Linked DNA regions of Sus scrofa. The protein of the gene in region 2 interacts with the protein of the main gene of each other region in a biochemical or structural test. Links are inferred from orthologs where the notes say so. Each region holds a gene or a part of one and is shown on either strand. Other genes may lie near its edges.

Region 1 (4,072 bases), on a different chromosome or scaffold from region 2:
ACCCCCAAATGTGGCATTTCCGTGGGAAACCACAATGAATCACTCCCACTGGCCACCTAGTCCAGGCCTGACTGGATGAAGATTTACTTTGGTTTTCTCAAAAGTAAGAGGCTTTGTAAAGCCTCCCTGGACTTTTTAACAACCCCCCACCTCGTCCTGACGCTCCCGATTAAGAGCAAAATACCAACTTCTGCAAGGTTTGCTGAGTTTCAGATTTCACCAGAAGGGGGTCTGCCATAGCCACTAACCTTTTCCTCTGCAGAGAGCAGTGTCTGAAATGCTGCAGAGAAAAACAGTCACTGGGTGACACGGAGGGAAATGAAATTTTGAGGCTTTGTGGCTATAGAGGGCACAGCACACCCCTCACCAGTTAAAACTTTCCTTTCTCTGACGTCTCTTTTGGTAATAAAGACAATCATGGCTATCATTTATTTGAGCACTTAGAATGCAGTCAGTCCCCTGACTAGACGCTCGGTTTTCGAATCAAACCTCACTGATTTGATTTGAGGGCGGTATTACTACCTCATTTCACATGTGAGGAACCAGAGGCTCAGAGAAGTTAAGGGACTTACCCAAGGTAACAGAGTTATGAAAAAAAGGGGCAAAGTCCAGCTTCCATCCCAGGTCTGAGCCCAAAGTCCGCACTATTAACCTCCAAACTATTCCTATACTACCTTGACCTGGAAAGTCCATGCCACCTGGTCCCGGGTAAAACTGAGGAAACTAGCAGGGCGGAAGCAGAGAAAGGGGGCAGCCAGGTAAAGTCGTTTCTTTTAGGAAAAAGCGGGGAAATGGCCGGGAGATTGCAAGTTCATCCTCCGCAGATGCAAGCGGGGCCAAGGCCATTCCCGGGTGTCGGAGGGCCAGAGAAAGGCACCTCCCAAGGCCAAGGTTTGATCGGGACAAATCCCACCGCTTCCCCCTCTGAGAGAGGGGGAGGCAGGCCAGGGCCGGTGTGAGGCCCAAGGAGCAGGTCGCCCGACCCCAGTCCAGCTCTCAGGTCCAGGCCGGGGTCAGAGACCCCGCCTGCCCCCGGCCAGCGTGCCGGCGGGCCAAGGGTTAAGCGAGGCGGGAGCCCCCGGCGTGGGGCGGCCGCGGGGCCGGGAATGCTTAGTCAGGATTCCGATTTCCTGTCGAAGTGTTTGGATTTCCTGAAACCCGCGCCCTCCGCCGCCGAGCGGGATCGTCCGAGCCGCGCGCGTCGCTGCGGCCTCCTCCCCTCGGCACATGGTCGCCCGCCCCTTCCTGCGCCGCGCTCGGCTCCCGCGCCTCGCCGCTGCCGCCGCCGCCGCCGCCACGGGCCGGCACTCCGCGCTCCGGCAGCCCCCGGCCCGCGCCTCCCGCCCCGCCGGCTGCTCCGGCCGCCGCCCGCTTTCCGCTCCGAGAGCCACGATCGGCCGGCCGAGGGGAGCCGGGGCGCGGGCGTCTGCGCCGCCGCCGAGAAGCCGGCGCCAAGCCCGCGATGGAATAATGCCCAGCGGCCCGCCCGGTCCCGGTGAGTCGCGGGGCGCCCGGACGGGCTCGGCGGGGCCGCGCGCGGTGGGGGGTGGGAGGGTCCTGGGTCTTCGGCGCCCCCTGCCCGGCCCCCGCTCGGAGAGGAGCCGGCACAGGGCGCCGGGCGGGTCCGGACTCCGCGGCGGGGTGCCTGGTGCGCGGGGAGGGCGCCGGCCGCGGGCTCCGCAGGGCCGGGCTCGGCGGTCCAGGGGGGTCCGCGCCCCAGGGATGCGGGGGTGAGGCCGCTCGGGGCGGCGGGGGGGGCTCCGCGCGCCCTCCCGGAGAGGAGCCCGGGCAGCGCGCCCGGGGGCCGGGGCCGGCGGATGGGGCGCCCTCCCGGCTGCAGGCGCGGGCGCTGGCCGCGGCATTGTCTCCCTGGCGCGGCGGAGCAAAGTTCCCCGCCGTTCCTGGAGCGGCCGGCCCGGCCCCGAGCCCCCGGCCCCCGGCCCCCGGCCCCGGCTGGGACTCGGCGCTGCCACGCAGGCCCCAGGCCACTTGCTTCAAGCGAACGAAAACATTCCCACTCGAGATTTGGGGGTTGTTGACGGGAAGACAGGAAAGTGGCTGGTGTTTGTGCTTGTACCATTTTGGGACCTGCTGCATTTTCGGAGAGCGACGTGAAGTTTCAAAGAAAAAAAGAAACTCACTGGCGTCTGGCATTCTGCGGTTTCATACATCCCGAGAGTTGCTCTCTGGCATTCCTAAAGCGGTTTCCTTTAATAATTTATTTTTCCACTAGCGCAGGGGGATGGAGAGCCAAGTTCAGCCCATCGGCCGCGTGACCTCAGCTTTACCTGCACAAATCAGAAAGAACAAGAACTTTCTCCCACTTTTTTCCCCCTAGACTCGGTCAGGTTGTCTTGGCAGAATGGATTCTGGGATGACAGCGGGGCACGGTTTGCTGAGTAATGTTTGGGGATTGTAAAACATAATTCAGTATGGAGGCCAGTTTTCGCTCTCCATCAAACCTCAGCCCCAGGCCTTTGCACTTTGCAGTTGGAGGTTCATCTTATAGCAAGAAGATGCAGGTCTTCTGGAAGCGTCACATCTCCACAGCTCAGAAAGAAAAAGCGTCCCTGAGAACAGTTGTTTCAGCTCCTTCTTTTTTAAAAAAATGTTTTGTCGGAGTTCCTGTCGTGGCTCAGTGGTTAATGAATCCGACTAGGAACCATGAGGTTGTGGGTTCGATCCCTGCCCTTGCTCAGTGGGTTAAGGATCTGGTGTTGCCTTGAGCTGTGGTGTAGGTCGCAGATGCGGCTAGGATCCTGCGTTGCTGTGGCACTGGCGTAGGCTGGCAGCTGCAGCTCCGATTCAACCCCTAGCCTGGGAACCTCCATATGCTGCGCGGGAGTGGCCCAAGAAATAGCAAAAAGACAAATAAATAAATAAATGTTTTGTTATTATAGTTAATTAACAATGTTCTGTCAATGGCGGCTATACAGCGAAAGTGACCCAGTTAGACATTTATATGCATTCTTTTTTCCCATTATCCTCCATCATGTTCCATCACAAGTGATTAGATATAATTCCCTGTGCTCTACAGCGGGGAGCTCCTTCTCCTTCTCCAGATGAGGCTGGGAGAGGTGATGGAGATCCTGCAAAGTCATGTGACCAGGCTTTAGCCTCCCAGTCTAGTGCTCCTCTTACTAATGTCAGTTTAGGGTATGTCAGCTCTGGAATCTTTGGCAATACGCCTTCTTGGCTTTATAACCTACATCATTTTAGTGCCTTCTCTTGTTCTGTCTTATCTGTTATTGCTGCTATTTTTGAGATATGCCGTTATCTCAAACCGCATATTTTGAGATAAAGAAAAAATTCCCTAACCTCTACTGTTCAGCCACTAAATGGATTTGGAGCTTCAGCCGCCAAATGGATTTGCAATATAAAATGGGCGGCTTATTATATAGGGAATTGCCGTTCTCTATCCCATTCTTTTGTAAGAAATAGAAACTCCCAAGCCCCAAAAGGGGCAGTATTTTAGCACATAACGTACCGTATGATATTCTCTACACTTGATTTCCAGCCCCCCTGTATCTTGTGAGTGAGGCAGCCCATCTATTTTTCTCCCTATGAGAGCTCCGAGTGGCTGCTTTTTCATTTTTAGTATGTGATAATGTTGGAGAGAAAGGACTTTTTCGAAAGCTTGCCATTTGGTGAAGGAAATTGAAATTCTCTCCACCTCCCCACTCCTCACCAGCCACAGTGAACCAGATTTTTTCAAAAGCAGTCAAAGCCTTGTAGGCCCCAAGATGCATGTGTGCATTCAGAGGGGCTGGCTGCTCCCTCGCCCCACCTGAGGACCCACCTCCCAGGTGGCCGAAGTCTAGAGGAAAAAAGGGAACCTGTGTTACCTGGAATCGTTTCTGCATTTTCCCTCCAAGTTCTCAGTGGTATTTGAGTGGATCTGGCTGCCGCATTCTCATTTTTCCCTCCTGTGTTTCTTCTCTCCACTTCTCTCCCAGCCACTCTCTCTTCATGGGCTGGAGAACAAGTCTTCTTCTCGGGGATGCATGAAAGATCCTCATGTAAGCAACGGTGACAGTGACAGCTAGCATTTATTGAGCACTTGCTGTATGCC
Region 2 (3,512 bases):
CTCTTAGAACAATCAAGATCTAGAGCTCCATCACCCCCAGAAAGCACCCTTGTACCCTCCAGAGACAGCACCATCTGGCCTCAAACCCAGACAAGCCACTGATGGGCTTTCTGCTTCACAGATTTGTTTCATAGAGTTTCATATATGTAAATCTTTTACATCCAAGGGTTTTCCTTCTTGCGCTGCGTATCAGTAGTTCGTTCCTTTTTTATTGCTGAATAGTATTCCTTATATGGCTGTGCCCCAATGCTGTTTGCCTGGAGGTCCACCTTTGGTTGTTTTCCATCCTGCTTGCCTTTTCAAGAGGGACAAACAAAGGCTTTATTCAGAGATGGGTTTACATAAAATCTGCAGTGCGGTTAAAGCAAGCCCAGCCTGCCCCGGTGAACAGCGTCTGGGAATCACTGCTTCCTGGCTCAGGGGGAACAGCGTTGGGGCTAGAGCCACTTTCTTTCTGCCCAGGGAGTTTGCTGGACTTTCTCAAGGGTGAGACGGGCAAGTACCTGCGACTGCCTCAGCTGGTGGACATGGCTGCTCAGGTGAGTTTGCCCCTCCTGCCTCCCACACCTGGCCTCGAGTGCGCCGACCTGGTCAGCCAGTTCTGGATTCTTGAGTGCCCCCTCCAGGAAGCTTGCCTTGATTGCTCCCACACTTGCTGACCTCACCACATGTATTCCTGGTACCACTTTAGATGCTGTGTGGTGGCTCTGGGCAGAGGAAAGAGCCCTTACCTGGGCATCAGGAGTCACTGACTTACTGTGGAACCTCAGGCCTCAGTTTTCTTCTGTCTGAAAGTCATTCAGTCACTCAACAGACATGTATTAATATTTGCTTGCTGTAGGTACTACTCAACAACTACTTTTTAAAATTTTTATTTCTTGGAGTTCCCGTCATGGCGCAGTGGTTAACGAATCTGACTAGGAACCATGAGGTTGCAGGTTTGATCCCTGGCCTTGCTCAGTGGGTTAAGGATCCGGTGTTACCATGAGCTGTGGTGTAGGTCACAGACGCGGCTCGGATCCCGAGTTGCTGTGGCTCTGGTGTAGGCTGGTGGTTATGGCTCCGATTAGACCCCTAGCCTGGGAACCTCCATATGCTGTGGGAAGCGGCCCTAGAAAAGGCAAAAAGGCAAAAAAATAAAATTAAAATTAAAAAAAATAAAATTTTTATTTCTTTTTTTTTTCTTTCTTTTTTTAAAAATCTTTTTAGGGCTGCACCTGCAGCATATAGAGGTTCCCAGGCTAGGGGTTGACTCAGAGCTATAGCCTCTGGCCTATGCCACAACCACAGCAACGCCAGATCTGAGTTGCCTCTACAACCCGCAGCACAGCTCACGGCAATGCCAGGTCCTTAACCCATTGAACAAGGCCAGGGATCAAACCTGTGTCCTCATGGATACTAGTCAGATTCGTTTCGCAGTGCCAAGATGGGAACTTTATTGTTTGTTTCTTTTCTGTTTTTTTCTTTTCTTTAGAGCTACACCTGCAGCATATGGAAGTTCCCAGGCTAGGGGTGGAAATGGAGCTACAGCTGCTGGCCTATACCACAGCCACAGCAACACCAGATCTGAGCTGCATCTGTGACCTATGCTGTAGCTTGTGTCAACACCAGATTCTTTAACCCATTGAGCGAGGCCAGGGATGGAATCCACACCCTCATGGATACTAGGTGGATTCTTAACCCACTGAGCCACAACGGGAACTCCATATTTTGTATTTCTGGGCCAGGGATTGAAACCAAGCCACAGGTTTGACCTATGTTGCAACCGAAGCAATGCTGGATCCTTTAACCCACTATGTGGGGCCAGGGATTGACCCTGCACCTCTGCAGCGACTCGGGCTGCTGTAGTTGGGTTCTTAACCCATTGTGCCACAGTGGGAACTCCAGCAGCTAGTTTTTATTTAATCCTTATCACAATCAGGGGAGATAGGGATGGCCATTATTCCATTTAACAGATGAGAAAACTGAGGCTCAGGGAAGAGACTTGGGACAACAGGCAGGAGCTGGCACTCATCTGCATCTCTGGGGGCATCTGGGGCCTCTTTTTCATGGTCACTCCACTTTCCTGGCTGCATCTGGTCTTGGGCCTCTCCTTTACCCTTTGCCCTTTCCCCTGTGCTACACCCCCACCTGGTGCTGGTCCTGCTTTTTGTGCCAACAGTATTTATTGTAAACTGACTTCATTGCCTGAAGACCTGGGAAGGGCAGGGTATTTGGTTGTCTGTCCACCCCTGGGGATGGCCCCACCCCTGGGTACATGCCCTGTGACCTGGGAAGGGCACAGGGTCGCCCCTGAACCAGGCTCGCGGGGTTCTGCCTGCAGATCGCCTCGGGCATGGCCTACGTGGAGCGGATGAACTATGTCCACCGAGACCTCCGTGCTGCCAACATCCTGGTTGGAGAGAACCTCGCGTGCAAAGTGGCCGACTTCGGGCTGGCTCGGCTCATCGAAGACAATGAGTACACAGCTCGGCAAGGTGGGCAGGGTCCCGGCAGTGCCGTGTGGCCATAGGGAGTCAGGCTCCTGCTCTGAGCCTCAGTTTCCTCCTCTGTCAAGTGGGGATGAGAATGGTTCCTACCTGGCAGAGTGATCAGGACGTTCTCCTGAGCTTCTCCTGACCCTACCTGCCTCTGCAGGTGCCAAATTCCCCATCAAGTGGACGGCTCCAGAAGCTGCCCTCTATGGCCGGTTCACCATCAAGTCCGACGTGTGGTCCTTTGGGATCCTGCTGACGGAGCTCACAACCAAGGGACGGGTGCCCTACCCTGGTAAGAGGGCGCCTAGCAGCCCATCTTTGGTCCTTCTGCCCCTGCCCTGGGGCCCCTCTGCTCAGGTGACCTCGGGCAAGTCACAGCCCCTCCCGGGCCTCAGTTTCCCCATCTGTATAACCAAGAGGTGGAACATCTGATCTTAGGCTCTCTTTTTGTTCAGGGCTCCCAGCCCAAGGCCAGCTCCCTTCCCCATGGTCACGGCCACCCTGTCCTAGGCAGGAAGCCATCTCTGTTGTCCCTGTCCGCTTCCCCCCGCCCCACTTTTCTCACCGCAGCCAGCCGCTTCACGCCTCCCTCCGCCCACAGGGATGGTGAACCGCGAGGTGCTGGACCAGGTGGAGCGGGGCTACCGGATGCCCTGTCCGCCTGAGTGTCCCGAGTCTCTGCATGACCTCATGTGCCAGTGCTGGCGGAAGGACCCGGAGGAACGGCCCACCTTCGAGTACCTGCAGGCCTTCCTGGAGGACTACTTCACGTCCACCGAGCCCCAGTACCAGCCCGGAGAGAACCTATAGGGTACAGGCTACAGGGCCAGACTGCCTTCTCAGCTTGGATCCTGGGTTGGGTGGCCCCTGACATGGGGTCTCGCCTCCCTCTGCCTGCCCGCCATTGATCCTCTCTGAGGGGCCAAGGACAAGGCCCCTCCGTCTTTTGTGGCATGGAAGGGCTTGGGGCCCCGGGCAGCCCTGGGGGCGGGGTCTGAGGCTGGCGCAGTGACTGTGTCCGGGCCTCCGCCCAGC

Evidence for each region.
Region 1: the proteins of SRC (region 2) and ASAP1 form a complex in vitro, tested with the Homo sapiens proteins (2 studies listed by BioGRID and IntAct). The link is inferred for Sus scrofa from reciprocal best matches to the Homo sapiens genes SRC and ASAP1.

Annotation. Positions count from the first base shown.
Region 1 is NC_010446.5:10,102,594-10,106,665, forward strand, and holds the start of ASAP1 (arf-GAP with SH3 domain, ANK repeat and PH domain-containing protein 1), read left to right. Parts: upstream 1-1,266; 5' UTR 1,267-1,495; intron 1,496-4,072. UniProt on the Homo sapiens protein: Possesses phosphatidylinositol 4,5-bisphosphate-dependent GTPase-activating protein activity for ARF1 (ADP ribosylation factor 1) and ARF5 and a lesser activity towards ARF6.
Region 2 is NC_010459.5:40,519,477-40,522,988, forward strand, and holds part of SRC (proto-oncogene tyrosine-protein kinase Src), read left to right. Parts: intron 1-462; coding exon 463-539; intron 540-2,323; coding exon 2,324-2,477; intron 2,478-2,637; coding exon 2,638-2,769; intron 2,770-3,078; coding exon 3,079-3,287; 3' UTR 3,288-3,512. UniProt on the Homo sapiens protein: Non-receptor protein tyrosine kinase which is activated following engagement of many different classes of cellular receptors including immune response receptors, integrins and other adhesion receptors, receptor protein tyrosine kinases, G protein-coupled receptors as well as cytokine receptors.